Linked DNA regions of Oryzias latipes. Each later gene encodes a partner of the first gene's protein in a complex. Links are inferred from orthologs where the notes say so. Each region holds a gene or a part of one and is shown on either strand. Other genes may lie near its edges.

What was found.
Region 2: snrpf (region 1) and snrpd2 share a complex: the UniProt entries of both Homo sapiens proteins name them as parts of the SMN-Sm complex. The link is inferred for Oryzias latipes from reciprocal best matches to the Homo sapiens genes SNRPF and SNRPD2.
Region 3: snrpf (region 1) and ppih share a complex: the UniProt entries of both Homo sapiens proteins name them as parts of the U4/U6-U5 tri-snRNP complex. The link is inferred for Oryzias latipes from reciprocal best matches to the Homo sapiens genes SNRPF and PPIH.
Region 4: snrpf (region 1) and gemin4 share a complex: the UniProt entries of both Homo sapiens proteins name them as parts of the SMN-Sm complex. The link is inferred for Oryzias latipes from reciprocal best matches to the Homo sapiens genes SNRPF and GEMIN4.
Region 5: snrpf (region 1) and prpf4 share a complex: the UniProt entries of both Homo sapiens proteins name them as parts of the U4/U6-U5 tri-snRNP complex. The link is inferred for Oryzias latipes from reciprocal best matches to the Homo sapiens genes SNRPF and PRPF4.
Region 6: snrpf (region 1) and gemin5 share a complex: the UniProt entries of both Homo sapiens proteins name them as parts of the SMN-Sm complex. The link is inferred for Oryzias latipes from reciprocal best matches to the Homo sapiens genes SNRPF and GEMIN5.
Region 7: snrpf (region 1) and lsm5 share a complex: the UniProt entries of both Homo sapiens proteins name them as parts of the U4/U6-U5 tri-snRNP complex. The link is inferred for Oryzias latipes from reciprocal best matches to the Homo sapiens genes SNRPF and LSM5.

Annotation. Positions count from the first base shown.
Region 1 is NC_019881.2:20,374,780-20,379,711, reverse strand, and holds snrpf (small nuclear ribonucleoprotein F), read left to right. Parts: upstream 1-1,587; 5' UTR 1,588-1,722; coding exon 1,723-1,725; intron 1,726-2,321; coding exon 2,322-2,447; intron 2,448-4,383; coding exon 4,384-4,448; intron 4,449-4,541; coding exon 4,542-4,608; 3' UTR 4,609-4,780; downstream 4,781-4,932. UniProt on the Homo sapiens protein: Plays a role in pre-mRNA splicing as a core component of the spliceosomal U1, U2, U4 and U5 small nuclear ribonucleoproteins (snRNPs), the building blocks of the spliceosome.
Region 2 is NC_019871.2:25,537,512-25,542,187, reverse strand, and holds the start of snrpd2 (small nuclear ribonucleoprotein Sm D2), read left to right. Parts: upstream 1-1,537; 5' UTR 1,538-1,666; coding exon 1,667-1,668; intron 1,669-3,012; coding exon 3,013-3,192; intron 3,193-4,676. UniProt on the Homo sapiens protein: Plays a role in pre-mRNA splicing as a core component of the spliceosomal U1, U2, U4 and U5 small nuclear ribonucleoproteins (snRNPs), the building blocks of the spliceosome.
Region 3 is NC_019865.2:7,775,597-7,780,444, forward strand, and holds the start of ppih (peptidyl-prolyl cis-trans isomerase H), read left to right. Parts: upstream 1-1,917; 5' UTR 1,918-2,026; coding exon 2,027-2,092; intron 2,093-4,848. UniProt on the Homo sapiens protein: PPIase that catalyzes the cis-trans isomerization of proline imidic peptide bonds in oligopeptides and may therefore assist protein folding. Participates in pre-mRNA splicing.
Region 4 is NC_019871.2:19,893,509-19,896,460, forward strand, and holds the end of gemin4 (gem-associated protein 4), read left to right. Parts: coding exon 1-399; intron 400-1,092; exon of another isoform or gene 1,093-1,520; coding exon 1,521-1,742; 3' UTR 1,743-1,948; downstream 1,949-2,952. Other genes in the region: protein FAM57A, read right to left, coding at 2,045-2,332. UniProt on the Homo sapiens protein: The SMN complex catalyzes the assembly of small nuclear ribonucleoproteins (snRNPs), the building blocks of the spliceosome, and thereby plays an important role in the splicing of cellular pre-mRNAs.
Region 5 is NC_019870.2:3,720-8,587, forward strand, and holds the start of prpf4 (U4/U6 small nuclear ribonucleoprotein Prp4), read left to right. Parts: upstream 1-1,675; 5' UTR 1,676-1,768; intron 1,769-4,868. UniProt on the Homo sapiens protein: Plays a role in pre-mRNA splicing as component of the U4/U6-U5 tri-snRNP complex that is involved in spliceosome assembly, and as component of the precatalytic spliceosome (spliceosome B complex).
Region 6 is NC_019872.2:29,389,032-29,392,861, reverse strand, and holds the end of gemin5 (gem-associated protein 5), read left to right. Parts: intron 1-105; coding exon 106-201; intron 202-269; coding exon 270-407; intron 408-618; coding exon 619-766; intron 767-840; coding exon 841-960; intron 961-1,034; coding exon 1,035-1,245; intron 1,246-1,322; coding exon 1,323-1,586; intron 1,587-1,662; coding exon 1,663-1,825; intron 1,826-2,088; coding exon 2,089-2,428; intron 2,429-2,697; coding exon 2,698-2,785; intron 2,786-2,871; coding exon 2,872-3,036; 3' UTR 3,037-3,106; downstream 3,107-3,830. UniProt on the Homo sapiens protein: The SMN complex catalyzes the assembly of small nuclear ribonucleoproteins (snRNPs), the building blocks of the spliceosome, and thereby plays an important role in the splicing of cellular pre-mRNAs.
Region 7 is NC_019878.2:23,646,982-23,650,916, reverse strand, and holds lsm5 (U6 snRNA-associated Sm-like protein LSm5), read left to right. Parts: upstream 1-1,957; 5' UTR 1,958-2,030; coding exon 2,031-2,076; intron 2,077-2,137; exon of another isoform or gene 2,138-2,152; coding exon of another isoform or gene 2,153-2,192; intron 2,193-2,641; coding exon 2,642-2,737; intron 2,738-2,817; coding exon 2,818-2,845; intron 2,846-2,913; coding exon 2,914-2,986; intron 2,987-3,062; coding exon 3,063-3,095; 3' UTR 3,096-3,278; downstream 3,279-3,935. Other genes in the region: psme2 (proteasome activator complex subunit 2), read right to left, coding at 3,437-3,517, 3,818-3,904. UniProt on the Homo sapiens protein: Plays a role in pre-mRNA splicing as component of the U4/U6-U5 tri-snRNP complex that is involved in spliceosome assembly, and as component of the precatalytic spliceosome (spliceosome B complex).

The DNA.
Region 1 (4,932 bases):
CAGACATTGTAGTGGTGGATAAAGAACAGAGGAAAGCCGTTGTGGTGGATGTGGCAGTGCCAAGTGATGGGAACATCAGGAAGAAGAAACATGAGAAACTGGAGAAATACCAGGGACTCAGAGAAGAACTGGAGAAAGCCTGGAAAGTGAAGGTGACAGTGGTGCCTGTGGTAATTGGAGCACTTGGGGCAGTAACCCCCAAGCTGGAGGAGTGGTTACAACAGATACCTGGAAAGACCTCAGACCTCTCAGTACAGAAAAGCGCAGTGCTAGGAACAGCTAAGATACTGCGCAGGACCCTCAAGCTCCCGGGCCTCTGGTAGAGGACCCGAGCTTGGAGGAGAAAGCACCCACGGAGGGTGAGAGGGGCGTTTTTTTAAATTTTATATATATATATATATAGATATATAGGGAGCTGGTTTAGCTCGTGCTGGTTTGCGGCGCCTTCCGTCCGTGAAACCAGGGTTCGACTCCGGGCTGCTCCCTGTTCCCTTCTCTACTTCTGTGCCGGTCCCAAGCCCGGTTGCTTTGAGAAGGTTGCGTCAGGAAGGGCATCCGGCGTAAAACATTGCCAAGTTTACCATGCGACTCGTTCGCTGTGGCGACCCCTGATGGGAAAAGCCAAAAGGGAAACCAACCCTATCTATCTATCTATCTATCTATCTATCTATCTATCTATCTATCTATCTATCTATCTATCTATCTATCTATCTATCTATCTATCTATCTATCTATCTATCTATCTATCTATCTATCTATCTATCTATCTATCTATCTATCTATCTATCTATCTATCTATCTATCTATCTATCTATCTATCTATCTATCTATCTATCTATCTATCTATCTATCTATCTATCTATCTATCTATCTATCTATCTATCTATCTATCTATCTATCTATCTTCTGAAGATGAGACCCACCAACTCACACATTGATTCTCGCACTGTTTTCCCAACAATCTATATGTCATAAACACTTCTCAGCTTACTTACTTAGCCATTGCCTCCTTGGTAACCGCCTCGCACCATGATTCCTCTGTAGCAAACGTGAAATCTACCTGGCGTTGATACAGAGTGTGAGTGCCTGTATGGTGAGATGTCATCCACAGTTTTGGCATCTTCTCCAGCTCCAGGCTCAAATGAAACATTTACAAAACTAAAATCATTTTCTTACATTAAAGCTCGGTAATGCAAGCCTTTCAAATAAACAGCAGAATGTGAGAGTTCGTCAGCACATGTTGTCAGCAGCCTGGAGCTGATGACAACAATTCTATAATTCCATTGGGTTTTATATTATCTGATTATAAATCATTTTTAATTTCACTTATTTATTTATTTTTTGACATTTGGTCTTGTCTCATTGTTATAAAATAGTTTATTTATGTTTTTTTTCATAGTTTGTTTATTTTTTGTTGTTTACTAATTGTGTGAATGATGTTGTGTCATTTTGTAAACTGATTTTATTTATGATTATTTTATTATGACTTTATAAAGCAGATGCACTGGAATGTGATCAGAATATAGTCCGAGTCTTTTTGTTGCACTAATACATCCAGAACGCCAGGGGGCGACGTGAGGCGCGGCGAAAAGCTCGATGCCACTTCCGTTTCCTGTCGGCGGCAAAGCGTGCTTCTAGTTTGTGAAGCTAAAACGTTTTTGTGACGAAGACATAATAAACTTCTAATTTACTGTTAATCGGGTCTAAACTTAATCGAGCAAAATGGTGAGTAACTCTTCAAATATGTAATTTCACACGGCCTTTGGGTTTATTGAAGTTTGTTAAAACAAAGAATTTAAGAGAGTTAGCTCGTTTATGCTAGCCATGTTAGCATCCCATTCATAACTGGTTTACACAGCTCGTAGGGGAAAACAAACTTACACTAAAAACAAAACTTTAAAAATGAAACGGTTAGATATTCAAGTGAGCTTTTACTAAAGTGTTGTTTGTTTTGGGTAACGTGTTGCCGTATCAGAAAATGAACGTCCGTCGGAACAACACAAAACTATGACGTTCCTCTGCAGGTAGTAGTGTGGTCGAACATTATACAACAGATTAATAGAAGTATATAGGTCATTTGAATAATTAAACTGCTCCAAAACCGAATTTATGTACTGTTTCCCAATTATTCAATTTATTTTTTTAATGCAGTCCAGATTGGTTCTTCAGTCGCTCCTGTTGATGATTGGTGGTGTAAAGAAATCAGACGTGGAGACTGTCCATAACATGAATAACCCGCATACTTAAAGTTCTAAATATCTCATAGGGAAAAGCGTCATGTTTGCAGACTTGATGTAAGGTTTCAATCCCCTCTGCCGCAGAGTTTGCCCCTCAACCCAAAGCCTTTCCTGAACGGCCTGACAGGGAAACCAGTGATGGTGAAGCTGAAGTGGGGAATGGAGTACAAAGGCTACCTGGTGTCTGTGGACGGATACATGAACATGCAGGTAAAAGCAACTCTAGCTTCATTCACAACTATATCAGGGTTTATTCTGGGATTTTAAAATGCAGCTGCAACACAGAGGCAAACTACTCAAAAGTAAATGCAATTATTTATTCAATCTATTTTAAATTAGTCAAGAGTGTTTTTATCGTACTCAGTTTGTTATTATTATACATGTTTCTAAATGACCAACAGTGTTTTCAGTCTTCTATTCTGAGCATTAACTTAGACGACTGTTGGTGGAAAACCAATTAGCAGCTTTTCTTGTACCAGTTTACAATTTTTTTCAAAAATTCTAACTATCCTATCATATAACATTTTAATAAAAAAAAGTCGTTTAAAAAAAGGTCAAATGGCTCCTGTCGCATAGTGACAGCCTCTGCAAAGATGACGGAGGCTTTTTTGAGTTTGCTAAACGATCCTGTTCAGCAATTATTGATCAGGAACTTTCCGCTTCATCCAAGAGTCAAAAACAAACTCAATACAGTTTCTAAATGAAAACACTTCTGGTTTTTCACAATAAGATTATTCTGGGCACAAATAACAAAACATTTCTCTGAACCAATGAAGTCATTCAAACCAAATCATAAATGTTGTCTCACATTGTTATTTAAACAGTAAATAAGTCAAAACAACTCTAAACACTTATTTTTTTTAAGTATTTATCTGTGATGCTCATTTTTTGATCAGGGTTATCCGTAGTAATCACAACTAAAAATGTTCCAAATTTAGCTTTTTTGTCCTTCACTGAGCAATTAAGTCTGTAAGTCAGTCGCTGCAGCGGCCTGATACTGCATGAAAGTTGGCTAGCATTTCTAAATCTGGAACAACTTTTCTTACCAAAACATATCAAACCATTTTGTTCTATTGTTTAGATAGCAGCACATGTAGAATAAAAGAAATCTGTTTAAAAAATTGAGATTTCAGACCCTTAAAGCTCTCACACCAAACCGGTGTTGCTTCTCCATATTTTACATAATTCTTTGTATATTTAGATTTCATGAAATTTGACCTTTGCTAAGAAACTCTTGTTGTTTAGATGAAGGTTGTTGTTTAACTTTGTCATCTTTTATTATGAGATTTTAAAAGAAATACATTTGTTGTGTTTTACTCAGAGGAAATTACCATAAACATTTTACTTGTTTAGTTTGTAGAAAAAAAGTGATAAACGGCAGGAAAAGTACATGATTGTTGCAGAAATCCTCAGATGGAATGGGTTTTTACCAAACTGTGACACGCCACCATAACAGTAACATCTTTTCTTACGCTTTTCTAAGCTCTTCAGAAAAAAGTCTTATATCTGGACTTGTTTTTAAAATGTTTAATTTCCTGAAATTCCAAAGTAGATTCTTTGTCGAGTGAATTTTCTCAGGTTAAATATTAGTTAAAAAATGACAGAAAAATATAAGTATTTAGATGAAAACTTGGGTGCTGGAATTAAAGGTTAATCTTTTAACATTTGTAGAAAAGAACAGAAAATTTGCATTTGGTTATTTGGGAAACAGCAAAGAAATCCATAAGATCTTTTTTTTTTTTAATATTCTTGTGGCATCTTTCTCATGATGGAGAACACGTATGAAGAATGAATCAGGAGCAGAAGACAAAATGCCTTTTGATTAAGATCGTATTTGTGACGTTGAAAATATGGTGGGCGGGCAACAAGCTCCCTGCTCCGAGGGAAAGGGGGGCGGGGTTGCTCTGTACCAACAGTTTCGCCACAACAACAAACTGGGTAATCATAATTAGAACCACTGGGAAGGCTTTGACACTAGATCTTAAGATGATCAGAGCTGATCTTTAAACTAAACGTTATGAGTAGTTTACTGTTTAATCCAGCAGAGGGCGCCACAGAATGAACGTAAAATCTAACAAATCTTTAATTTGGTAGAAAAATGAAGAGAAGGTTTGAGGTTTTGACTTTTCTGTATGATGTCTGACAGCTGGCAAACACGGAGGAGTATGTGGACGGAGCGTTGGCGGGTCATCTGGGTGAAGTGCTCGTCAGGTATGGAAACCGCCTGATGAAGAAACGCCCTCAAAAAGTAAATAATCGTTTGAAATCCTTGCAGTCGTTCATGGAAACATGTTTTCTGCTCAGGTGCAACAATGTTTTGTACATCAGAGGTGTAGAAGAAGAAGAAGAAGATGGAGAGATGAGAGAATGATGATGAAGAGGAGCCAGCTTGTGTGATTGAACCCTAAAGTGGAGCCGTGTGTTTGTGTTTTCACCATGTGAAACAAATCTTTTTCCAACAACTTTAAGATGAAACTTTTTTTTTTTTCTTCTTTTTACTGTTTGTGACATAACACAATAAAGTGACTGTTTATCATTTCTTACAGAAGTGTGTGTGTGTTTTTATTTTTAATGCTCTGTCCTGTTTGACTTTCTGAAACTAGGACTGCCTCTCTCTGTGCACTTTAAACTCTTCTGGACAAACATTGACTTTGTCTCCAAACCCTGGTCGCCTCTGAAGTTCCTCAGTCTGCTG
Region 2 (4,676 bases), on another chromosome or scaffold:
TCCTTGTTGAGGCATCTCCTTCAAATCTTCTGTCCTATGAAGAAGCTTTCAGTTTTTATTATTTTTTATTTTTTACTCTTTTATTGACATTATGCAATGAGGGGAAAAGATAAGCAATAAATAGATTAATATGTTATCAGAATCCTTTAATCAACATTTTAGTTGTTAGAAAAAGTCTACTAAAAAACTTGAGTTGTGGTCCTACAACTATTTGTAGTTTTAACGGTTTACTCAACAAACTTGAAAAAAAGCCCAAAGGGATTGTTTGTGTTTGGAATTGGTTTCCTTATTTCATAAGTCACAAGATCTCCTTTGGATGTTGGCCAAAAAGGAATTGTGGATTTTACCATCTGAAAGAAGTGCTACAACATTTTTGTCAACGGCTCAGACTCTTTAAGACATCTCTTCAAAACAAAACTTATATTAGACTAACATTAGATAAATACACCTGCTGTAGATCTCATAGAACTCAGTTGTGAGAGTTTCTAAATGACACTATAATGCATCTTATAACTTTTTATAATTGTATTATAAATGGTAAATGGCGTATAATTGTACTGCGCTTTCTACCTTCCTTGAAGGCCAAAATCAGTCACCTATTCATACACAGATTCACATACTGGTTTCCTGGTTGCTGAACACTGGCACCAACCTTCCACCAGAAGCAAGGTGGTGTTCAGTTCAGCGTCTTTCCCAAGGACACTTCAACGGTAGGGCGGGTATCGAACCTGCAATCTAACGATCAGAGGGTGACCACCCTACCACGGCTGCCCATGTATGCAAGACATGACAGCAATAAACCTGGAGCCTAAAACTTTTACTATTAAAGTTTTTTTGTATTGTTTGATTTGCAAAATGCAGTTACAAAAGGCCATGTTTATAGTTTCTTGATATTGAATTATATTTTTCAAATAAATGAGTTTAAAAATACTGCTAAAAATACAAATGAACAATGCTGCATCATTTGTTTAGCACCTACAATAATAGATAAGGCAATCTGTGATTTGGAACGTGGCACATATGAAAAAAAGGAAAGGTTATTATTATTATTATTGTTTTTGTTGTTATTAATATTATTACTATTATTGTTGTTGTTGTTATTTCCAATATTTTAATTGTTGTTGTTGTTAATAATGTTGTTGTTGTTTACCAGGCAAAGGTCACAGACTAAGCAACGTCTCTTTTATTTTATATTATTTCTTGATACTGTCAACCTGGACTTTGATATCCTGCAAATGCAAAATAACTGGATAAAAGCAATGCTGAATTTAAATGTATCAAATTGTATTTAATTAATCTTTTTCGTGTATTTATTTAAACATGTTCTATAATGTCGTTTGTTAAATTGCTGCATGAATGCTGGGGCATTCATAACAGTTTTAACTTCGGCTTCAGTAACGAAATTACTAGAGATGGATGCAAGATTAGAATAGAATATTTTAGCTGATGACCGTTGTTTGATTTTTTTTCTATTGTTGCCAAAAAGAATAGAATATTTTTCGAATTTTTGGTTTGCGTCGTAACCCGGAAGTTATTCTATTTAAGCGCGTTAATATCACCGGAAGTGATTCTGTGCACGCGACTGTCGGCTAAAACGTTGTAGACACGACCGACGCACGAAAGAGGCTTTGGAACTTTACTAAACGGTTTTTATAAACCAGGAATCATGTTAGTATCTTCTATTGTGTCTCGATGTTGAGGGCAATGTTACTTTTTACGTTTAGCTGCTAATATGGAGATCGCACTATTAAGCTAGCAGCATTTTCCTTCGAGTTGGTGCTAGATCGCTTTGTGTGGCCTAGTGGGTGGTTTTTAGAAATGTGTTAAATTGGATTACATTGCAATTACTGCATTCTCAAATTAAATTGTTTAAAAAGTTACGTCCAAAGCTAAATTCTGTGATTGTACATCGCGCGAAAGCTTGATGGACGTACTAAGCCTCATTAGCTAATTGCTAATGAGACTGTTAGCTTGCTCTATCCATCATGAGTAAATGTCCTCGTTGTGCGATTGCAGCATTCATTCTTTAGAAAGTAGAAATGTTTAAGCTTCTGCAAGATGATATGATCAAAGTCGTCGGTTATAGACTCATTTTGTGTGAAAGCCAAAGTTTTGTTCTAAATATTTTGTGCGTAAAGAGCCTAAACTCTTTGCTGATCTCAAAGCACACACTGTTCAGAGATTGTTGAAAACTTCAAATGTATCTGGAAACAATAAATGTTCTGTGCTCATTTAAGGGTGGCGGGAGGCTTTAATGTTTTAAAACTTGATCCTTTTATAAAGTCTAGTATTTGTTGACCTTTATTTAGGTAAATTGTTTCTCTATCATCCAGAGCAGCCATTTTTTTTAAAGTAGGTTTTACTTCTGCCTATTTGTAGTGATCATTGTACAAATATAAAGAAATATCGAGACTAAAATGTACTGATTCAATTTATCAATGACCAAAGCATTTATTGTGTGTGTGAGATAATTCCTCAATAGTTTTGATTCCGTCTGATGTAATGTCTCCTGTACAATGGTTTTCTGGTTAATACTAGTTTTGCATGTTTAGTTTTATTTAGATATTTGGTTGTGGTCCATTTTCCTGCTTAAGCACCTTCTGCCTCTCAAATGTCTCTATTAACTGAGCACTTTCAGTCAACAGCTTCAGCTCTCATAAATGCTCTTTTGCAGGAACTGAGACTTTTTTTAGCTGGTTCCACTTTTCAGATGTCTTGCCTATATTGTACATTTTTGTGCTAACTTGACTTTATAAGAAAATGATCATTTTGTTGAGGCACACAGATGAAGCCAACTCTTGGATTCGCATTAACAGTAACTAATGCTTGTGTGTGCATTAAATACGAAAGTGTTGCGTTTGTGTCTTTATATTTATTTTTTAATTTAAAAGAATAATAATAAAAAGGCCCAAATCCAAATAATAGGCCGCCCAAGCAGTCGATGCTTAAACAGTACATCGTTGCTTATTTTGTTTGCTGTTATCACTAATTCAGAACTTGTTTAATCCACAGGAGTCTTCTAACGAAACCTAAGTCAGAGATGACGCCTGAAGAGCTCCAGAAAAGAGAAGAGGAGGAGTTCAACACTGGCCCTCTGTCGGTGCTCACCCAGTCAGTCAAGAACAACACCCAAGTCCTCATTAACTGTCGCAACAACAAGAAGCTGCTTGGAAGAGTCAAAGCATTCGACAGGTATTGGGGGGCTGCTGGTGTAGCGGAGAGAGGTTTAAGTGTGTATTTAGGACTTTTATATGAAGAGGAAACAAACACGAAGAGCTTGCATCTTGATTTAGAAAGTGTTGCTTCACTAAAGCATATTTTTGCAGTCTTTTTTTCTTCTTCTTTCCAGGATTTGAAATAACATGGCGCCTTACAGTGGTTTTATTCTAAAATGTTTCAATTATTCCCTCCTCTCTTTGACATATTCCTTTAATAGAATCAAGAATAAAATACATTCAGAAGAATTCAAATACAAGTAAAACACTAAATATAAGCTCACAAATGTAAGAGATTAAAAAGGCGTCCATAGCATCTCCTCCACATTGGGTACTGTGCCTGATGTGGGTGTGGGGTTTGAATGATTTCATTCTCTGAAGCATTGTTTTGTTTTTTTATCAAGTATGAGTTGAATAAAAAGCCACTTCTTAAATACTAAACCTGTTTTAAGGGTTAGATGTCAACAGCAAGATTTCTATATGTAGTCACTTGTGTAATAAAATCAAATTTTCTTACAAAGCTTAAGCAATGAAGAAGGGAGATTGCAAGATGTTTTATTTCAATAGTTCTTGCATTGTAATTTTCTGATCTTTTTGGTTTTTAAAAGAATAGATTACGTATGTGAGCAAATCCACCTGAGCACCCCAAGATTTCAAATGCCAGTGAGTTATTAGTATGAAGGTAAAAATGTGTCTAAATAGACGAGCTTGTAGATTTGGTGTGAGAACTTGTAATTTACAATGTGAGAACTTGCACACCAAAAATCTGCATCTGTGTGTAAAAATCTTCTGCTGTAAAGTCTGACAAACTAAATCAGAACTGACAAATTCCCATTTAGAGTTACAACCTCCAATCTGGGATTACAACTGCTCAAATGTGAATCTGCTGGCGCACATCACAAGTGCACAACAACTGCGCTCTGACTTCTGACACATTCCTTGTGAGAAACTTGTGTCAAAATTGATCTGTGTACGAAAACGGAACGGGGGGGACAATAGGGTCATGATTAGTCAGTACAGAAAGTTTGCTGACATTAGCTTTAGTATCTTTAGAACTATTGAGCACCTTTATTATGAATCATGTCTCTTAAAATGTGAAAAACTATATAAAATATATTAAACATGGAATTTCTCAGCAGGAAGTCCGAATCTGTGAAGATCTTTCTAACTTTACCAAGTCCTCTGAGTCCTGCACTCTGATTGGTTGACTCCCCCATCCTCTACACACACACACACACACACACACACACACAGAGTTCCAGTTTTCGGACACAGATCAGTTTTTTCCTTGTAGTTGGACCGAACCGTTTCGGTACGGCAATTTCGGTTCGGATCACTTTTGTACTGTTTCGGTTTCTCCTTTTTTTTGTCTGTTTATCCTCTCTCTCCCCCTCTTGCGTTGTCATTTGTTGGTACACTTTGGATTTGTCTGGATGAAAGGAAAGACAATTAAATAAGTCG
Region 3 (4,848 bases), on another chromosome or scaffold:
TCCAAAGTAGGTGACTAATTGTTTCTGGGTGTTGTTTACAAAGAGTACAATGGAGGTCAATTGTCGTATTATATCTTAACATGTACTGATTAGTGTGATAGATTATCTATGGCAATGGCGACAGTAGTTGCCAGAGATACGATGACTCAGAGCGACTTAACTGCACCCGTATCAGGGAACTATGGTACTTCCTATTTGGGAACATGAGAAGGGAGAAGTTGAACTGTCCATTGTTCTTATTTTATTTTATTTTATTTAACTTTATGAAACAGAATGCAAGTATACAACACAAGAAAGAACCAATGCAGTGTATGACGTACAATGAATGCATAGTACATAGACAATAAAACAATTTTATGCTCTTTTTGAAATAGTGAAAACACAGGGTAACGCATTTTCCCATCTCAGAGAGAAATCTTTAAAGATATGAATGATAAATCTACTGAACTCCTTTCAAAACGTCTGGGTGGGCAAATACCCAAAAAGATGTGTCACAGTTTCTGAATGATCTCCACAGAAACAATCAGTATTAATATCTTTTTCAAATTTTGTCAAGTATTGTTTTGCAGGGTAAATTTTATGGAGAATTTAAAAAGACACTTCTTTCACCTTATTTATTGTTAAATGTTTATGAGGGATCCTCCACACCACTTTCCAGTTGTTACCTGGAACAAATTGATTACAATAATTTAAAATATACTATGTCACTTATTTATCAGTGTTTTTAAACAGCATTAATGTTCCTGATGGTAGGGCATTCTGCACCATTAACCCTTGTGCTATCTTAGATGACCCCACCCTTGCATTGACGTGTTCTCCCTACCATGACAAAGATGGATAAAGGTGGAAAGATTTCATGTAATCCATGGACACCAGTGAGGTTCACAAATCATTGAAGAAAAAAGGTTCAGCGCACTGTCTAGTGGGTCTAGATGACCCAACTCCCAATGTTAAAGTGCCTAGGATAGCACAAGGTTTATGGACTCTTGTAGACTGACAGGAAAATTATATAGCGATAAGGACACATTGTAGTTTAGCAGCTGCCCCTCCTTATTGAATAGCCGAGCCACCAGCAGGGTCCTATTCTGTGTCCAGGTCTCCAGGTGGAGTGATCTTTTTTTAAATGAAAAAAATCTGTTAATCCAGATGAAATATTTGTGTGGTGAAAAAGGATACTTGAAAATTAGGTTCCACACTAAGAGGACCTGCTAATGGAAAGATGAGAGTTTTACTGGGAGTTTCACAACATTATTGTTACAATTCAAAATAAAATTAAAGCCTCCAAAACTAGAGAAAAAAATCTGTAAATGGTATAATGTTCCAGATAGCAGTGGGGTTCTTAAGAAAAATTTTGGCCCTATTAATTTTAACATTATACTGCAGATAACATCTACTGAGCAGTCCTTAATTGCAAATAATTCACATTACTTTTAGTTTAAGTTTAAAGGGTGGGGTTATGAATGCTTTTGTTCTTCCCACTCATTTTCAAGCAATAAATCAAGAAGCTCTATTTGACATTAATGAATACTATATTTATTTAAGCAAATGTGACAAAAGCGAGTCTTTGTTTTAATCTATGTCTTTCATCATTTCTGTAATTAGTTTGTCAATCTGTGTGATTTAAAAAAAAAGTATTGACTACAGTTAATGCTTGAAATAAAAATAAATCAAATAAAATCAAATTACTTCCTCAAGCGTGAGAAGGCTCCCACAATAACTAATTTCCTCTTCATCAATAGTTCTGAGGTTTTGGATATTATTAAGTAACAAAGAAGAACTGTCCTCATAGTGTCCATTGTTTTTACAGTCCATGGTAAAAAGCGCATAGCACTGATTTTCATTCTTTCTTTCCTTCTTTTTGTATTCATTCAATAAAGTTTGAAGGAAAAAAGCGCAAGTATTTCGCTGACTCCGGCGAGCCACCGTAGACTCTTACTGCGCATGTGCGTGGTTTTCAAATGAGTGGCGTGTGAATTCAACATTGCTATTATTTAAAGTTAATAAGTTGTATGTATAAAATATCACTATGTCTGTTCAACCTACAAACCCAAACAATCCAATCGTTTTCTTCGACATCACCATCGGCGGTCAGGTAAGTGAGCTTAAAAGAAAAGTTGAATAAATGGCTAAAATTTGTTAGCTAAGGCTTAAGGGTAACTTGAAAATCGACTCAAATATATAGTTATTCTTTACAGAGAAAGAATAATATCATGTAAACTGCGCGTGATACGGTTTGCGTCTGTTTATTAGATGCATCCTTATAAATAAAAGTAGTTTTTGTGTGGTGAATCATCATGTGTCTCTGTCTGAATTTCACCGTCGTATTAACAAATTAAAGTCCGGTTTAGACACTCTTTTAACAAACGACGTTTTATTTTTTTTATATTTTTAAAAGCTTAAAGTAATGTTTATACAGCATTCCATTAGATCCAACAAAGACTACACAACATGTTTGGTTTTACTTTTGCTTATTTTCTAGCTTGTTTAATTCTCTACTTAACTTAGTCTGTGAGAGTCTTTCCGTCTGTACTTTGATATCGCAAAGCTTTTTTTCCCCTAGATCCATTGTGTTTTTTTTGTTTTTGTTTTTTTAACTTAATTCAGGTGAATCAAGTAATCAGGGAGTACAACACACATTTCCAAAGTTTAATATAATACTAACGATGCCCTTTCTTGCTTGCTATCTATCAATCTGTCTTTTAAATATGGCAAATGGCGTATACTTATATAGCGCTTAGCTACCTTCTTCAAGGCCCAAAGCACTTTACAGTCGCAGACCCAGTCACACACACATTCACACACCGATGGCGGCTCCGCTGCCGAACACTGGCGCCAACCTCCCACCAGAGGCCAGGTGGGGTTCAATGTCTTGCCCAAGGACACTTTGACTCATGGGTGTGCAAGGCGGGAATCAAACCTGCAATATTACAATCATGGGTCGACCGCCCTAACGCTGCACCATGCCCGCCGTAGATAGGTACCTTGTATTTAATTTACTGCTCTGGAGTGGGGTTGTATATCTTTCCGTCTCAAATGAATTGATGCGCATCTCGATACATGGTCTATGAATTGATACATAAAATATTCAACTAACTTTCCGGTACAGTCCAATTTCTTTTAATCTAAAAGGATGACAAATGACTAAATGGAAAACAATCTAGATATTTATTATTCATTTGGCATATAACATAAGGGCTGCACGATGGCACAGTGGTTAGCGCTCTCGCGGCGAGAAGACCTAGCTGGGAACTCTCTGTGTGGAGTTTGCATGTTCTCCCCGTGCATCCCTTCCTCCCACAGTCCAAAAACACGCTTCATAGATACATTGATGACCTTCAGCTTACTGTAATTAACCTGACTTGGTAGAAATAAGCTTGTGACTGGACGTTCCGATAGAGTAAAGCACAAAAAGAAGAGAAATTGACAGAGATAAACCGATTATTCCTGATCAATTTTATACCTCTATTTTAACATGATCTTGTTTGTATCTGTGATTCTCAACTGATATGGCTGTTACACTCATAACTTGATTAATTTCTTTTATACATTTCTGTATCCTTTACGTCCACAAACATGTTCTTTTTTTTAAGACATTTAAAAACTCTGAAAAACTTACGTGCTTCCTTTTTATAAGGCACGTTGATCTTACAGACTTCCAAGAACTCTCAGGTCCCAAAGGTATTTTCTTTTAACTGTCCCAAATGAAAGCAGCATAGCAAACAATGAGGCCTCATTTGCAGTTGTTGTTGATTTTATCGGCAAAAACAGCCTCCCCCAAGACATTCTGCCTCCGCAGAAATCATTATGGACAGGTTGGACTGACCTTTTTTACTTGTGTTTTTGTGCCTTGCTTCATCAATTTGGTGTCTCCTGCCTTATGTTTTTATTTTCCCCTTCAACGCGTCCTTGCTCCAGAGAATGATGATAGTTTCAGTAGATGTGTTTTTGTGGCTGCTTCTTTAATATGTGTCTAAATTGAGCTGTGACGGTGTGGGATTTTTGATCACCGCGGTGATGAACCAGCAGGGGGCGCTGCGTTCTTTTTTTTTTCATCCTCTGTTATTTAATAGGTTCCGATGAGAACCATTTCCCCGAGAGGCCACAAAACTAGCAAATATGTTGTAATTAACTAGCAGTTAATCTGCTTCTCCAATAGATTTTTGTCAACAAACAACTTATTTTCTCATCTGGATCTGGATGTTTTTAGACAAAAGCTGCATGTTTATACTGGAATGTCTTGCCACATTTGAGACTTTGTTGTTTGCTAATTCCTCATTACATATTAATAATTCATTCATCATGAGGAACTTCAATTTTCTCAAAATTCTCCATTGTTGTCCCAGAACATTGTTGGGAGTCGTGGCGGTGACGCAGGTGTGTAATCCAAACTTTAATCAGAAACCTAATACTCAGCCCGTTAGTTTTTTTTGTTTTTTTTTTTTATATTATTTTTATGAACCTTGCTGACTGCTTGCTGACCGTAGTCGTTAGCACAGGGTAACCGCTACAGGGACGAGCAGCTCGCCTGGTTCCGACCCGTTCCTGGTTCAGACCTGGTGACAAAAATACAACAGCTGGTCGACAGACGACCCGGAGAGGTTCTGCATGATGAGGCTTTTATTCACTTCTCATTCAACCTCATTCAACATGAAGAACTTTCCATCCTATAAGAGACTCTGGTCTGTCGCAGACACGCCCCCTCCGCGTCTTCACGCTGCTGTCTTTCTTCTGCCCGCTCGCACATCCCGACGGTGTGAAAGGTGTGACACGGCAATCTTAGACATGATCGTTATTTTAAAAAACCACAGAGAGCCGCAGGCTGCTGACCCCTGATTTAGCTGATGCTTG
Region 4 (2,952 bases), on another chromosome or scaffold:
CTGGACCTCCGGCAGTTCTCCTGTGAGCTCCGCGTGTCCGTTCTCCTGCTCCGGGCGTTCCAGCTACTCTGTGGTTCCAGCTGCTCCCATTGGCTGCCCGCTGACGGCTGGGCCCATGCTGGCAGGCTGTACGCCCACGCAGTTAGGAACGTGTTGAGCTCTGTTAAAGTCAAGCTGCAGCTTCCTACAGCGAGCACCGCAGCCGTCTCTGAGTCAACTCCTCCAGAACCAGCACCATCCGGAGATCCAAACTCTGCTGTCAGTCCATACCAAGACTCCTGCATGAACGGCCGGGCCCCCCCAGACCCTGGAGTCTCCAAAGAGGGACATGTGGAGAGCAAAAGCCAGGAGGTCCTCTTCGTTCTCAGCCAGCTCTTCTGCCACGTTCAGCACATCCAGGTCAGAAGGATTCTCTTCCCTGCAGGTTTTGCTCTTCTGGTCGCATGAAGCTTTTCTCTGTTCCTACATTTCAACCATCGAGGTCTTGATGGTTGGAAAAATGTGAACTGAAAGTTTCATCAATTCCGGAGAAGTACAAACTCATCAAAAGGGTTTTGAGTTAGTACTTAAAGGTGATATAATGTAGCAAAAGTCTTGGACTGGACTCATTCAGAACTCTTCATTTCTTAGCTTTCAGTTTTTGGTGTGTGTGTGTGTGTGTGGTGTTGGTGTGTGTAGGGGGGTGGGGGGTCTTTGGTGGTCTCACAGGTTCCTCGGGCTCTGATGGGCCACAGAATGATCCTCCTGCTGCTGCAACACAGCCCCAAACCATGACACCTCCCCCTCTATTTGTTAGTATGGGGGTGGGGGGCAGACCTGAGCTGGTTCTCAAACGTTTAAGACACCCCCCCCCCCGCCCTTGTAAACCGGAATTCAAAGTCCTTTTAAATCCTTTAGACTCTTAAGCTGCTCCATATTTTTCTGAAGTATGATTGTGTGAAAGTAAAAAAACAAGAAGACATGAATTGTTTAGAGTTCAGACCAAAACGCTTGTTAGACACGCACTTCTGGAGGAATTTACCAGTTGGTGCCACACCTGGTTAAACGTCCATAAACGTAGAATTGCTGGATGACTTTAAAAAAACAAATTTCTTAAAGTTTCATGGCTTTTTCTTTTTTATTCAGTTGACTTTCATATTTGTCCATCAGACAAATGCCACAAGAGAGAATGTAAAATTTTCATTGGAGGGGGACTATAAAGCCTGAACTTCTGAGAAGGTGTTAAGTCTTTCCAGAGCTGCAGGTCTGTTTGCAGCAAAGATCTCCTCCATGTGTGAGGATGTGTGGAGCTGCAAGGAAAAAAGGAATTCAACTTTAGTGAAGCCAAAACTTAAAAAAATAGTCCTGGAATTTCTGTCAATATTTTTCTGGTAGAAGTCTTAAATTTTTCTTCTGTTGATGAACAAAACATGGGCTTTAAAGTGGACCATCTCAGAGGACTTGAGGCGTTTACTGCTCAGCTTACAGAAGATTTCTGTTTTCCCATTTGAAACCTCCGTTTACAGATGTTTTCCTTCCAGGTGATGATGCCTGGAGGTCAGAGTGAACCTCTGTTCCTGTGCAGTCTGGAGATCCTCAGCTCCTACGAGGCCATCATGGCCGCCTTCCCCGACAGCTGCAGCCCGCTGGAGAGCGACAACACGCGTCACTTCTTCTCCACCATCACGGACAACCTGCTCAACCAGGAGATGAAAGCGGTCCTGCAGCAGAAGATTGCTCAGCTGGTGTCATCAGCAGCGTGACGCTCCAATGGACGCTATGCAGAAAGAAAACACGCTGACGCACCTGCACAGGTGCAACAAGCTGTCCTTGAATCTGCTTATAGTAAGCCTTCCCCAACAAAACAAATGTCAGAATGAAAAGCAAGAACAATGAAGTCAGGACAGTTTTTGGTTTTCTCATGTCATTCAGGTTTGTTCTTTTGTAAATAAAGTTCTAATATCTACAAGAACAGTTTTATTTGCTTCTAAAAGAAAAATCAAAAGATCAGGTTCAAATTCCAGCTCAGCATGTAACCTGCTAATCTGTCCTTTAGTGGGACTCTTCAGTCCGTCCTCAGCCGGGCCTTGTCTGGCGCCGTCCTCCCTCTCAGGTAGAGTCTGTTGGCTTTCCTCAAAAGCAGGAGAAACCAGTAGATCTGTGGAGCCAGAATCAGCAGGTTTCCCAGGTTGCAGTGCAGAGGCATGTGAAAGGCCACGGCGGAGAGAGGAACCCCCAGCTGCCGGCTGTACTTCCAGTACATGAAGGGGAACAGCAGGATCCGGCACACAAAGAAGGTCAGGAGGACCATGAGGCCGTTGATTCTGTGCAGCATGGAGTCGTCGAGGCGCAGCTGGAGAGCAGAGTCAGCTGTCAGAAACTTTGCAACACATTTTCAGAAGGTAGAAGGTCAAAACCTGGCAAAAGATCTCAGGTTGGTGGTATATCACATGACAAGAAAACATAAGAAATATCCACTTTATTAGCCTTATAGTGGAGCAAAAACATTACCAGTCATTGATTCTTTAAAATGAGTTTTGTCTGTGATGTTCATCATAGAAACACTTTAACAGTGAGACAGAAAGTAAAAAAATAATCTAGGAAATCACATTTAGATTTTTTATAGAATGTATTTGTATAATGGAGCAGAAAATATGTACCAAAAAGTTAACCTCAATACTTAAGAATGTAGTCCTGGTTTTAATGACAGAGGTCAAAGGTTTCCTGTAGGTCTTCAGCAGCTTTGAACACACTATAGCTGCCATGTTGGTCCATTCTTCCAAGCAGATCTTCTCCAGTGCCGTGTAGATTCCCGTTGGATTAAGGTCCAGAGACGGGCTAGAACACCCCAGAACCTTCAGATCTTCAATTTGGGCTCATTTTTTCATCCTCAGTGCTCCCTCTGATGGAAGGAGGTCTTTGACCAAAACCTGTAGACATGGCTTCATTCAGCCTTTCCTTCATATGAATCAG
Region 5 (4,868 bases), on another chromosome or scaffold:
CGCCCCTTTCTCGTGATATTTTTGTTTTGATTGACAGTTGATGTTGGAGCAAAAACAAAAATATATGTCACACACCAGGTGATCTGCGCAGCGTTGAGTCCACCTGGGTGATCTCAAACATGCTTATTGTGCATCTTGGCTGCACCTATTTGGTGTCACAAAGATAAATTTCCCTCCGTTTTCTTTACTTATTTGTACTGTCATGACAGTGATGGTGCTGTCAGTTTACCTTCTTGTTGCATCTTCAAAAGTGCAGAATAAAATGTGACACTGAATTTGAAACAGCACATTGTAATTTCTGCATCTATTATTAAAGTATTTATTAGTAATACAGTGGAAATTAGTAGATTGGGTTAGAATGTTGATTTACGGTATGCGCCCCTAAATTTTCTGGTTGTGCCCCTAAAATTTTCAGTTGGGGGCCACAGTGCTCCCAGTGAAAAAAGTTAGTCTGGAGCCCTGTATATATATGCGTCACAAGGAAAATAGAAATAAGATCAGAAACTCGTGCGTTTACTTTGTCTGTTCTTTTCTCCAAGCAGAAACTCTCTTTTGCTGATGATGCAGCCGTGTTACTTTATTGATGGACGTATAATCTTCATACGCCGTCATTTAAATGTCCGAATCCGTCTTACTGAAGTACAGCTCTCTCTCTTTTTTTCTCCACACGTTTCCATGGTGACTCCAGAAATCGGCGATCCATTGAGAATGTTTTTATGTACCTGCTGTGCACGTGCATTAACCCAGGGTTACCAAGTGGAGCGTAATTATGCTAACTCATATCCGGTCTGTTGGAACCGACATACCCAGAGTAAGCAAGTTCAGGTGGATTTCAGCCAGAGTTCAGGGTTAAAGTCAGGGGAGTTTAAACATGACTTCTGGAATACCCCCCTGGTCTCTGTGGGGGTTTACTCAGGAACCTCTGGTTGGATCAGATCTTCAGACTCCCACAAAGAGGGGGTCAGAAGTCTACAGTGTTTGACCTCAAAGTCACAAGCTACTCCAAAATATCATTTTAAAGAACAAGCTCTGTTTCTTTTACATAAATTATGGGACACTAGAACTTAAGCTCATCTCTGGTTCTGTGGGTTTGGGCTATTCTGGAATTGAAGACGCCCTGTGACTACACCCAGCAATAAGAACCATACCATTTCTCCACTGAACCTCAGGTCTGAATCCAGCAGCCAAAACAGCGCCCCCTAGGGAGCAAAGTGGACGTACTTTGCTGATTATCTGACACACCTAACCACGAAACGTGAAAGGTTCTAGTTTGATGCTCCACTGGTTCCAGTTCAGTCAAAGGGTCTTAAAAGAATGAGGATGCTCTGGGTCACACGGATCAGTTTGTGTAAGGTTTTGGTTGACAACCACCTGTTTCTGTCATGACAGCCAGCTGTACAGAATCTCTGATTCGGAGGAAAGCCACGAGCTCTGCTCCGTCTGCAAGGAACCCAAGACCTGGAGATGAGCTCCGGACGTTTGACCTCCTTTCTGGACATCCATTCAGCAAATAAACAAACACCACGTGATCTGCAGTTTTACTTCTGGTTAGCAACAAATTAGGTTCGTCACGCGCTTTTACCAGTGAGCTTACCTTGAACGAGTGGGTAAAACGCGCGCTCGCGGAGCTCCACGACCTGTTGTTGAGACACAAGACGCGCGTATCCAGGTTTTTCCGGTGAACCGGAAGTAGTAGGTTGACCCGGAAGCGGTTACAGCACATATATCCGGATCATTTAGCGCGTGGAGGCAGCTTTGTCGGATTAAGGTGAGTTTACGAAAAAAGTAACGAAGCTGTAGCAGCAAAAACAGTTAAGGACTAGCACGCGCTCACAGCATCTAATTTATTCCTCCGCCGCACGCGCTTTCAATCAGCCACAGATTCCCCCGCGTGGATCGGAACCGGTTCCACTGCAGAAATTGGTTGGAGGTTCTAACTGTTGTGCAGCTTCGCCTGCAAAAAGGGTGATGGAGGGAAGAAATGTTCAGTGTTTAGTAGATGACGTCATTAGTACAGACTGAATGTCCGTTTGCCTCAAGAAACGCAAAACAAAGAAAAGACGTAAGAATAGGCTGGCATTTACGATAGGACAGGTATAAAACATCAAATTACCAAGGATAGAAGATTAAAACTACTGTCGACTAAAATGCTTCATCGTTTAAAAAGGCGACCGTACCAAAATCTCCAAATAGGGGAGGAGCATCTGAAAGAAACAGAGAAGTTCAGCCGGCTAACAAGGAATATTGTGTTTTTGTTTTTCATTTAACTTTATTTGTTTTTAATTAACTTTATTCATTTCGTAGACAAATGCAAACAAAGGGAGTCAAACGTACACATGTTAACATAAAATGATGGATTCCTAGAGAAGAAAATAATAGAATAACTGAATATGATAGAGCTTATTGATGCTAACAGATGTGAAGAATTTATGTCATGTTTACATTTTATTTCTAAGTATCACTTCGGGTTTGCTGTTGGGGACTTAGCTGAATATAGAATTTAGCAAAAAATTAATATTTTTATTAAAATATGAATCCTTTTTGTCCTGATTAAAATGATAGAAATCGAAAATAACATTCTCATAAGGGTGAAAATCAGTGCAGATCAAGTCAGTGATCGTCTTTTAGAGAAGGAGGCCAGGCGTCAATCGAGAGGGTCGGAGGGTCCTGTCCCGGGTAATTATGAAAAGCAGACCCGTTATGTACATTTTCAAGGCATCGTTTCAGATGATTTGAAACCACCAGGGGGGTATTCCAGAAAGCAGGTTATGCTAGCTCCCACGGTAAGTTTGAGGCTAAGGAAGTGGATAACCTCAGCTTTCTGTTCCAGAAATGGAGGTATGTTTCAGGGTAGGTCAAGTTGCCATAGCAACTCATGCTCTGAACATAACCTGGTCAGGAGCAGGTTTAGTTGAAGGTTAGTTTGTTTTTCAGAGATGTGAAGCAGCATGGCGTGTCCATTTGAAGATGATTTAGTGGATGAAGAAGCTCAGATAATACTTTTTCCACCATGAGAGGATGATAAGACCACATATGGATGTTGGAAAGAGAAACTTTATACTTTCATCTAACTTAATTATTTGCTTAAGTTAAGATGAATCTTTTTTGGAGTTCAGTCAGCTTAAAAATAACACGTAGTTATCAGACATTTATTTTACTTTCATTCAAATTGATTCAATGAAGTAGGTGTAACTTTGGTGCTGCTGTTAGATCTGCACCGCAAGGAATTGTGGGATACCATTCCCTTTGCCTGTCTGGACGGATTTGGGTTTAAGTGTGGGTTTTTGACCAAATGTGTTTAGTTTAGCTGTTTTACTGTGTTTTGTCTAGTTATTTTGTCCTGTTATGTTTAATTCTTTCTGCACCATGAGTGAGAGGGAGGAAGAGGCGGATGAGTTTATTTAGCACCACTAGTGCGCGTTTCCATGGTGACTCCAGAAATCGGCGGTCCATTGAGAATGTCTTTATGTACATGCCGTGCACGTGCATTTACCCAGGGTTACCAAGTGGAACGTAATTACGCTAACTCGTATCCGGACTTTTGGAACCGACATACCCAGAGTAAGCAAGTTCAGGTGGATTTCAGCCAGAGTTCAGGGTTAAAGTCAGGGGAGTTTAAACATGACTTCTGGAATACCCCCCAGGTGCAGAGATTGGGTTCACTTCTACTCTGTTGACGGCTACATTTTCTTCTGACCTGCGGGTTTACGACACAATTTCCAAACTCATCTCCAGAGTAAATATAAACATGTGAGCGGTGGAGGCGATGCGGCTCAATGGCTGCGGGCCGTTATCGTGTTGTGGGGATGGCTTTATAATAATAATTGTTATGAACATTCATCGTCTCCGCCTTGTTCTCACTGTCCACTTCTGTCTTGATTCACACTTGAGTTGCTCCTTTTTGGTCTCCTGAACAAAATCCGTAATAAACTGCATCTGGTCCAGAATTCCACTGCCCATATTGTCTCCAGAACTCCAACCTTTGATCACCCCCCCCCCCCCCCCTTCCTCCAGCAATTGCACTGGCGTCCAATTCAATTCAGACTCCTCCTCTTCCTCACCTTCAAATCCCTCCATAACCTGGCCCCTGTTTACCTCTGAGCTCCTCCAAGTTGACGCCTCCTCTCGTTTTCTCCGGTCCTCTTTTTTTCTCCAGCTTTCTCACATTGTTTTTTTATCCTATTTTTCTAAATGTATTTTTATTCTTGTTTTTACTGCTATGTACAGTGACCTTGTGTGTCAAGAAAGGCGTGTGTCATCAAATTATTATATGCAATTCTTAAGATGGAAAAATTGATATTAAAATATAAAAGGAAAAATTCTACTAAATTTGGTCAAAATTCATCAAATCCATTCAGAGCAGGCTTCTAATGAATTCCACTGTCTATTTGATGTCTGCATTTAATGTCTCCACCTTATACTTAAATTTAAGTGAAATGAAATTAAACCATTGGGTGTTTTTGCTGATATTTGTTCTCAGTCTGTTATGATATTTCAACTTATGGACAACAGAAGAAAACGTGTCAAGGATCCTCTGAAGTAGGCCTGCACAATATACCGCAAATTTATCGTTATCGCAACATTAAGCTGTGCAATATGCATACCGCAAAAGACGGCGAAAATCGCAATAAATGGTTACCTCAAATGTACAAAAACAAACTCATGGCAGCTTGAAATATTGAACACATGAAATGAATCCCTTTATGCATTTAACCAATCGGAAGGACCCGTTTATGTTGTTGATCAATCAGATGAGCCCTTATATGTTTGATGTTTGCCTCCTACGTCAACAAGGGTCATTTGGATTATAATTTTTAAACTGTTGTAGTGAAATGGAAATTATTTTTTGGTTGTTTTGCTATTTGTTT
Region 6 (3,830 bases), on another chromosome or scaffold:
CAGATGGTCTCCAAATGCAAAATAAAAATGTCAGAAAACTTAAACGAGCTTAAGTCTTCAGTTCGACCCTTTTTTCACAAAGCAGGGCTGATTGTGTGTTTTCAGCGCCACCTGCTGGCTGCAGCCCGGGACATGGCGACCATGTCCACCTGGGCCTGTTTGCAGACCGGCGGGCTCTGCGCCTCATGCTGGAGGCAGAAGGTTTGTTGGTTCTCCCTTCCTGGCTTTGGGCGTTTCAGCGTAACGTTCAACTTCCTGTCGACCCTCAGAGGAAGGTCACGTGCAGGCGGGGCACTTCGACTCGGTGGTGTACCTGCGGCTGTGGAGCGGAGACCTGCAGGGGGCGCTGCAGCTGGCAACGGAGAAAGGAGAGCTGAACGACCACCTGCTGTCCGTCGCTGCGATGGGTAAAGAGCGGGAAGATGCCGGTTGAAGTGTCTGTGCAGACGTCAGGAAGCCAGTTTGATGCAAAAAAAGAGAAGGTTTTGGCTGCTGCTGGTCTAAGAGCACTAAAAAACATTTCTCACAGGAAATTCTCTAGATTTTTATTGCATCGATAAAAGCTGACGAGGGGACAGGAAGTGACCTCATGATGTGTTGGTTCTTCACCTCCTCCAGCTGGTTTTGAGGCCTGGAGCCGCGCGGTGGAGGCCTACGTCAGGCAGCTGTGTCTGCAGGAGCAGTACCTGAAGGCGGCGTCCCACCTGCTGTCCATCAACAGAGTCTACGAGGCCGTGGACCTGCTGCGATCACACAAGCTCTTCAGGTCTGAGCCGCTCGGCCGTTTGACTGAAGGAGTTTGTGGAGCAGCTCCATCAACCAGAGCTTGTCGTTCGTCAGGGAGGCCATCGCTCTGGCGAAAGCGCGGCTGGCGCCGGACGAGCCGGTCCTGAAGGAGCTGTACGGCGGCTGGGCTGCGGTGTTGGAGAAGGACGGCCATCTGTCCGCAGCAGCTAAATGGTCTGAAGGGAAGAGTCCGGCCTCACAGACCAGCGCTCTTCCTCCGCCTGATCCGTCTGACCTGCTTCTTTCAGTCACCTCGCCGCCGGCTCCGGTTTCGACGCCGCCAAAGTCATCGCCAAGAAGAATGACGTCGCGTCTTTGAGGACGGCAGCCGGCGTGGCCAGGATCTCAGGGGAGGGGGCTCTGGCTCAGACGCTGGCGCTGCGATGCGCCAAAGATCTGGCGGCTGCTCAGGATTGGCTGACGGCGCAGGAGGTCCTGAGCGGTCAGGACGACCTTCTGGTCAGCAGCTCACACTCTCCTGATCCCCCCTGGAAAGGAACAGGAAGCCTCTCACCGAGATGTTTCACCTTCTGCAGGTCCACAGGCTGCATCTCTGCGTGGCGGAGCTGCTGACTGTGGAGCTGCGTGACGCCGGGGTCATCCCTGCAGCCTCCTGCAGCTCCACCCACACATGGGCGGAGCCAAGAAAACATCCCGCCAGCATCCAGGACCGAGTCAGAGACGTGTGGGAGGAGGAGTTTGGCATTTCTGCAAACGCACCAGAAGACGGCAGCATGGAGGCTCTCCTGCAGGAGCTGAGGTCCGTGGAGAGTCCGGCCCCCACCGCCCCCCTGAAACAGGTACTGACCTCCAAACGGCCACGGCGGCACAACGTCATCAGTCCAACGCAGGAAACTGTCTGTGCTTTCTCCTCAGGTCCTGCTGCAGGCCTCGCTCCATCTGACCCGCGGCGTGCTGAGCTGGATCCTGAACGACGACGCGCAGCTGCTGAAGGAGCTGTGGTGGGCGGCGGCCTGGATCAGAGACGCCGGACTCTTCTGCGCCTCCGCAGAGCTGTGCAGGCGGCTGTTCCCCGAAGGTCCAACACGCCTCCCTCTGAAGCCGTCACACGTGTTCAGACTCCGCTTCAGACTTCTGACCCCATAACGTCTCAAAACAACAAATCGCATTTTCTCTGAAGCCGTTTCTGTACGAGATCAAAAAAGTAGAACACAAACAGAAGAAACACGTGAAAAACTGATGAAGCGTTTCACAGAACCGTTGAGACGAGCTCAGTTTGGATTTTATTTCTGTGTTTCTAAAAATGGATTTAAAACAACATTCCTGTTTTCTGTCGTCTAGGTGATGTTGGTCTGTTCTCCAGGAAACGTCCAAAGACCCTGAAGGGGACCGAGGCTGAGGCGAGCGCTGCGCTCAGCAGCCTGCAGGCCTTGGTCCGCTATCACCGCCTGTACGAGTGCTGGTGGAGGAGCGCCGCGGAGCAGGTGGAGGTCCAAAAGGGAGCAGCGGGCGAAGGCCAGGAGGACTTTGAAGTGCTGCTGTCCGAGCCGCACGCCGCCTGTCAGAGCCTGCAGAGGTCGGTGCAGGAGATCCGGGAGCGGCTGGCGGCCATGGTGGCGCAGCACAGCCGAGCGCAGGAAGACCCGCTCCCTGTGGGGAACCAGAACTCTGCAGAGCACAGGTCAGATTCTGATGCAAACATCGCTCACAACGACCAGGCCAGGAAGTGCACGTTTTTTTCACGATGATGGTGTGAAATTTGAGTTCAGGAAGTTGGATCATTTGAATCATTTAAATATTAAAAAAAACATCACTTTGATCTGGTTTATGTTGTAAAATAAATGAAATACCTTAACCCTGGTCATGTTTCCGTCAGGTCCAGCAGCGTCTGCCATGGACTTTTTCTTCTAGTTTGTGCTTCATTCAGTTAACTAGAAGTTTTTGTTCCAGCTGTGAAGATCAGGAGACTCTTCTGTCTCTGTCCTCCAAGATGTCCAAATACCAGCAGCAGCTGGTCGACCTGCCCGACACCCTGAAGGTCGGCCTCCACTCCTCCATCTGGACACGCTCTCATGGGTTCTGTGTTTGATCTGGAGCTGTAACTGCGTCCTCTTCGTCCCTCAGATGTTTCCTCATCCAGACGTCCTGGAGTGTTCCCTCGTGCTTTTGCACCTCGGCCGATCTGCGGGCGCCGTGTGTCCGTCGCTGCGACAGAAAGCCGAAGACCTGCTGCAGAAACACGGGAGGAGTCCCTCCATTCTGAACGCCTATCGGCGCTTCATCACATGAACACGTCTGCTGCTGAACCTCTGCACCTGTACAGTTTTGGTTAATAAAGGACACATGAAAGTCACCTGAATCAGAGCTCCTCTAAAATCATTTTGGTCATTTTAAAGTAGTTTTTCCTTTAGTTTGTGAAAACAGTTACATTTTTACTAATAGCATTTATAAAAGTGGTTAAACCTCATAAAGTTCAGGATCTGAGCTCAGAACTGAGGAACAGTTAAACTATAAACTAATTATTTAAACTATTTTTGATTATTATACTAATTCTTACCCCTTGTTCTATCCTAGGCACTCTAACATTGGGAGTTGGGTCATCTAGACCCACTAGACAGTGCTATGAACCTTTTTTCTTCAATGATTTGTGATCTTCACTGGTGTCCATGGATTACATGAAATCTTTCCACCTTTATCCACCTTTGTCATGGTAGGGAGAACACCTCAATGGAAGGGGGGGGGGGTCATCTAAGATAGCACAAGGGTTACACAAAGTAAAAAAAAAGAAACTCCAAATGTTTGGTAAATTACAAAAGTTCAGTTCAAATGTTTTGAGGAAACTTTTGGTGGTAGTGATTGTTACCACGCTTGGCCACTAGGTGGTGCTAGAACAGCATGGAAGCGTGACTTCAGCAGCTGATGGAGGCTACAGGTGGAGTCAAACTCAGACATTTCTCCTGCTTTGACTCCGCCCCCTCGCAGGACTCTGTTCTTCAGCGTGGCTGGACCATGGAAGATGTCTCTGGGACGTCCTTCGGCTCTAGCAGCTGGTGGAGCATGTGGACACAGACATGGAGGCCGGC
Region 7 (3,935 bases), on another chromosome or scaffold:
GAGATTTGTGACTCTTTTTTTTTTTTATTATAAAATATGTAGTTTCATTCTATTTACAGGCTCTTCCACATACTGCTAATCAATACTCTAACATTAAATAGAGATTTAAACAATAATGCAGAGACACGTCCGTAGTCATTACGTCATTATTGCAGCAGTTGCTGACTTGTTCATTGAATTAAGACACTAATGTAGCCTATGATATTTCCGTAATAAGCTATGAGCGGATAATATTACATAATGTAAGGCAATACTTTACCTTACACTGATGTACACTTTCTAACAATAAAAAATACCTGGAGCTGTACAAAGAATGACGTCACATACAGGAAGGACTGATGTAAAAACATCAGAATTCCACATTGTATAATCTTCCAATTCAAACTGAAGTGAAATATATAGGTGCTTTAACAACAAAAGACCAACATGCAAGAAGCTCTCTTAACCTTAACCCAATAATAGAAAAAAAACACACACAAAGGAAAGTGAATCAGTGGCTCTCCAAAGATTGATCTTTAAGAGGAAGGATTTTGAGATAAGATAAGATAAGATAAAGCTTTATTGTCATTGTACAATCACACTTGGTACAACAGTACAACGAAATTGCAAACTGTCCCACATTGGTGCAAAGAGAAAGAAGAAAACAACAATTATCTTTTACACACAAAAAAGTATAAAAAATAAATAGATACATATATAAATATATACTGCAACTTCCAGCTTTTTCTGCCACAATTGACACAAAAATGGATGTGAGATTGTGGAAGGCTGGGCATGCTTTTACATTTCAACATGTTGACGAGCCTTTTCTGCTCTCTCCCATAAATACTCCTGTGGAGAAAATATGTCTGTCCGTTATCCCAGAAGAAACATTATTTCAAATTAACATTGCATCTCTACCTCAGAGCATGTCTTATTGGAATATGTTTGCTGATGATATTGCATGGAAGGAGGTTTGGCAAACCCCTAATAAACGCTTGATCACCAATTAAGTAAAATAAGCTACTTTTAGGATTATCCACAGAATTTACCCAGATACAATTTTCATTCAAAAAAGATTAGATGAAACATTGATACATCTGTAGTTTTTGCTGCAATTCCCCTGAAACAGACATCCATCTTTTCTGGAATTGTCCTCAAGTTAAAGTGCTTTGGTAGAAGATTTGTGATTTCATACATGACAAAATTGATTCTTGTTTTGTTTTATTCTGGAAACATGTTTTGTTGGATCTTATATCAAAGGATACACAAAAGGACTCTGGTTGGCTTTTAAATCTCTTGCTCATGTTGGCCAAACAAAAAAAAAACAGTTACAACTTTTTTTAAATTGGTGGGTTTTTATATTATGTTCAGACCCCATTTTCTTTGTCTTTCACTTTTTTTTTAACTTTATTGACAATTGAGGTATCATACATTAAATAACGAACAATAACCATGTAATCAACATTACCTTGAAGATCAATCACCATTGCCAAACATAACATATTAACAAAAAAATAAAGAATAGAGAAAAACAAAAAAACAATGAACATAACACACAAATAAATAAAAACGAATAAGTAAAATAAAAATAAAATAAAAGAACATAGATCCAATCTAAATAGTCTAATACTAGTTAGGGGTACTCGTGAAGTTTGTATTTCTGAACAAAACAAAGCAATTTCAAGTCATTCTTCTTTTTCATATAATGAAGTGATTTGAAGTAAAAAACAGAGCTCTTTATGAAATGTTATAAAAAGTGTTTTGGTCTTCAAATATTTATTTTTGTGTATATAAAACTTTCCTTGCAACATCTGGATATTAAGAACACCAAATAGAAATTTTTCTGCGTGTAAATGAACTGGCATTGCAATTTTGGAAGAATACCAAAAGCAGAATTCCTCCCAGAATGTTTTTATAACTCCTTTGTCTTACACCTAAACAAACGTTGCTGTTCAAATAAATACTCCACGTTCGATTGCTTTTGCCTGCTGGACTGCGCTCATTTGTCGATTGGTCGGGCCTGTGCGGAAGCGTGTTCGTCAGTAAACATGGCAGCCACCCAGGGCACGAACCCGTCCCAGCTGCTCCCACTCGGTCCGTAAGCTTTAAATTAAGCCCGTTTTCTATCCGGGGTCTGACGGGGATTCACGCAAAACTCCGGGAAGTGTTCATGCGGGGGTCAGAGCCGGGGCCGCTGCGTGGTTTGAACGGTCTGACAATGGCGGGCAGGAGTTAGCAGCTAATTGTTCGTTAGCATCGAAACGCTCATGCTGTTAAAACTACGTTAAAGAATGACACTTTTTAAGTCTTTGGGTGTTTGTCTGATTGTAATATATTTAATTCATCGATTAATATGGTCCTGCCGTAAAGGGTTCGTAGTTGACGCGCTTTTTGAATTGCATAGCAATGCTGCAGCTAGCCGCTCCTTGCGACCGTGTTGCTAATTAGCCCAAAAGGAAACGTTTTCACCTCGTCATTCATTATCATTAATATTATTAGGATGTACTACTCTTAAGAGATGGTTTTCCTTATGTTGGATGCCTTGCGTAAACTTTATTTTAAACAAAAAGTTAAGTTACAGACACCTGTTAAAATATAAAATCAGTGTGGTTTGTAGACTGCATGCATGAAACTGAAATAACTGTTCTTCTTTCTTCAGAGCTTGTGGACAAATGCATCGGCTCTCGAATTCACATCGTCATGAAAACAGACAAAGAAATCGTCGGAACCTTGTTAGGTTTTGATGATTTTGTCAGTATCCTTCATCGATATTTTGGTATCAGTGTTGTGCTGTTTCCCTGTTTGGCCCACAGCCGCTCCTTAACTCTGTGTCAGACATGGTGCTGGAGGATGTGACAGAATTGTAAGTATCTTGTTTTCTTTTTTTTTGTGTACTTGGGGCTTGCTGTTGATGTGTTTTTGTTTTTCCAGTGAAATCACACCGGAAGGCAGGAGGATAACAAAGCTGGATCAGATCCTCCTGAATGGAAACAACATCACCATGGTGAGAAAGCAGTCGGTGGGAAGGATGGGGGGGGTGTCGCTGACCGGATCTCTCATCAGAATGGTTCTCTTTGCAGCTCATCCCAGGTGGAGAAGGCCCAGACGTGTAGATGTCAAGTTTTCTAAATGTACATACATCTTTGGTTGTTCTGGATTGATGTTAGTTTGCGGATTTCTCTTACTGGACATTTTGTTTTTAATATTTTTTAGTTTTGATTCTTTAAGGTTTGAATGAATCACGTCAAGGACAGAAAAGCTCTTTTTGTTATAAATAAACCAGATGATTAAACACAGTTTGATTTACAAGTTTATTATTCATAGGTTCACTTTAGTGCAATTTTCTTTCCTGTTTTTAAAAAGTGTTGGCATCCAACAGCAGTAATAACAGCTCACGGTTCATGAAGTCTAAATCTAAAGTTGCGCTCCTCCAAAACGGCGTACCGCTGCCGCCTCAGTACATGGAGGATTTCTCCTCTCCTTTTGGGTTGGTCACCTTTTCCAGGTTTTTGTTGATGATGTCGTACAGCTCGGCCTGAGGAAGTGAGAAGCTTGTTTGAATGAAAAGGTAATACACTTTAGCTATAAAACACCCCTAAAAACACATTTTCTTATATAAAACTAGGAATTTAACCTTTTTTTTGGTTAAAACCTTAAATACTTTCATTAAAATCCTACATCTGAGTGGAGGAAGATTTAAAAAGAACTTGTTTTAATCCAAGTAACTTCTTTTTTTTGTAAACCAAACAATTTATGCTACAAGAATCTCCAACTAAAAGTGAGCAAAAGTGTCTGGAATCCAAAGCATTTAGCGGCTGGAGCTTTGTCGTCTTACGTAGAAGCCGCGGATGTCGAGGAGGATCACCCTGAGGTCAGAGAAGAGCGCTCTGTCCTTCTCATGAACCAGTGAGCGGTAGTCCATCTGAGGGCAACACAACGACAGTTAAAGGTGT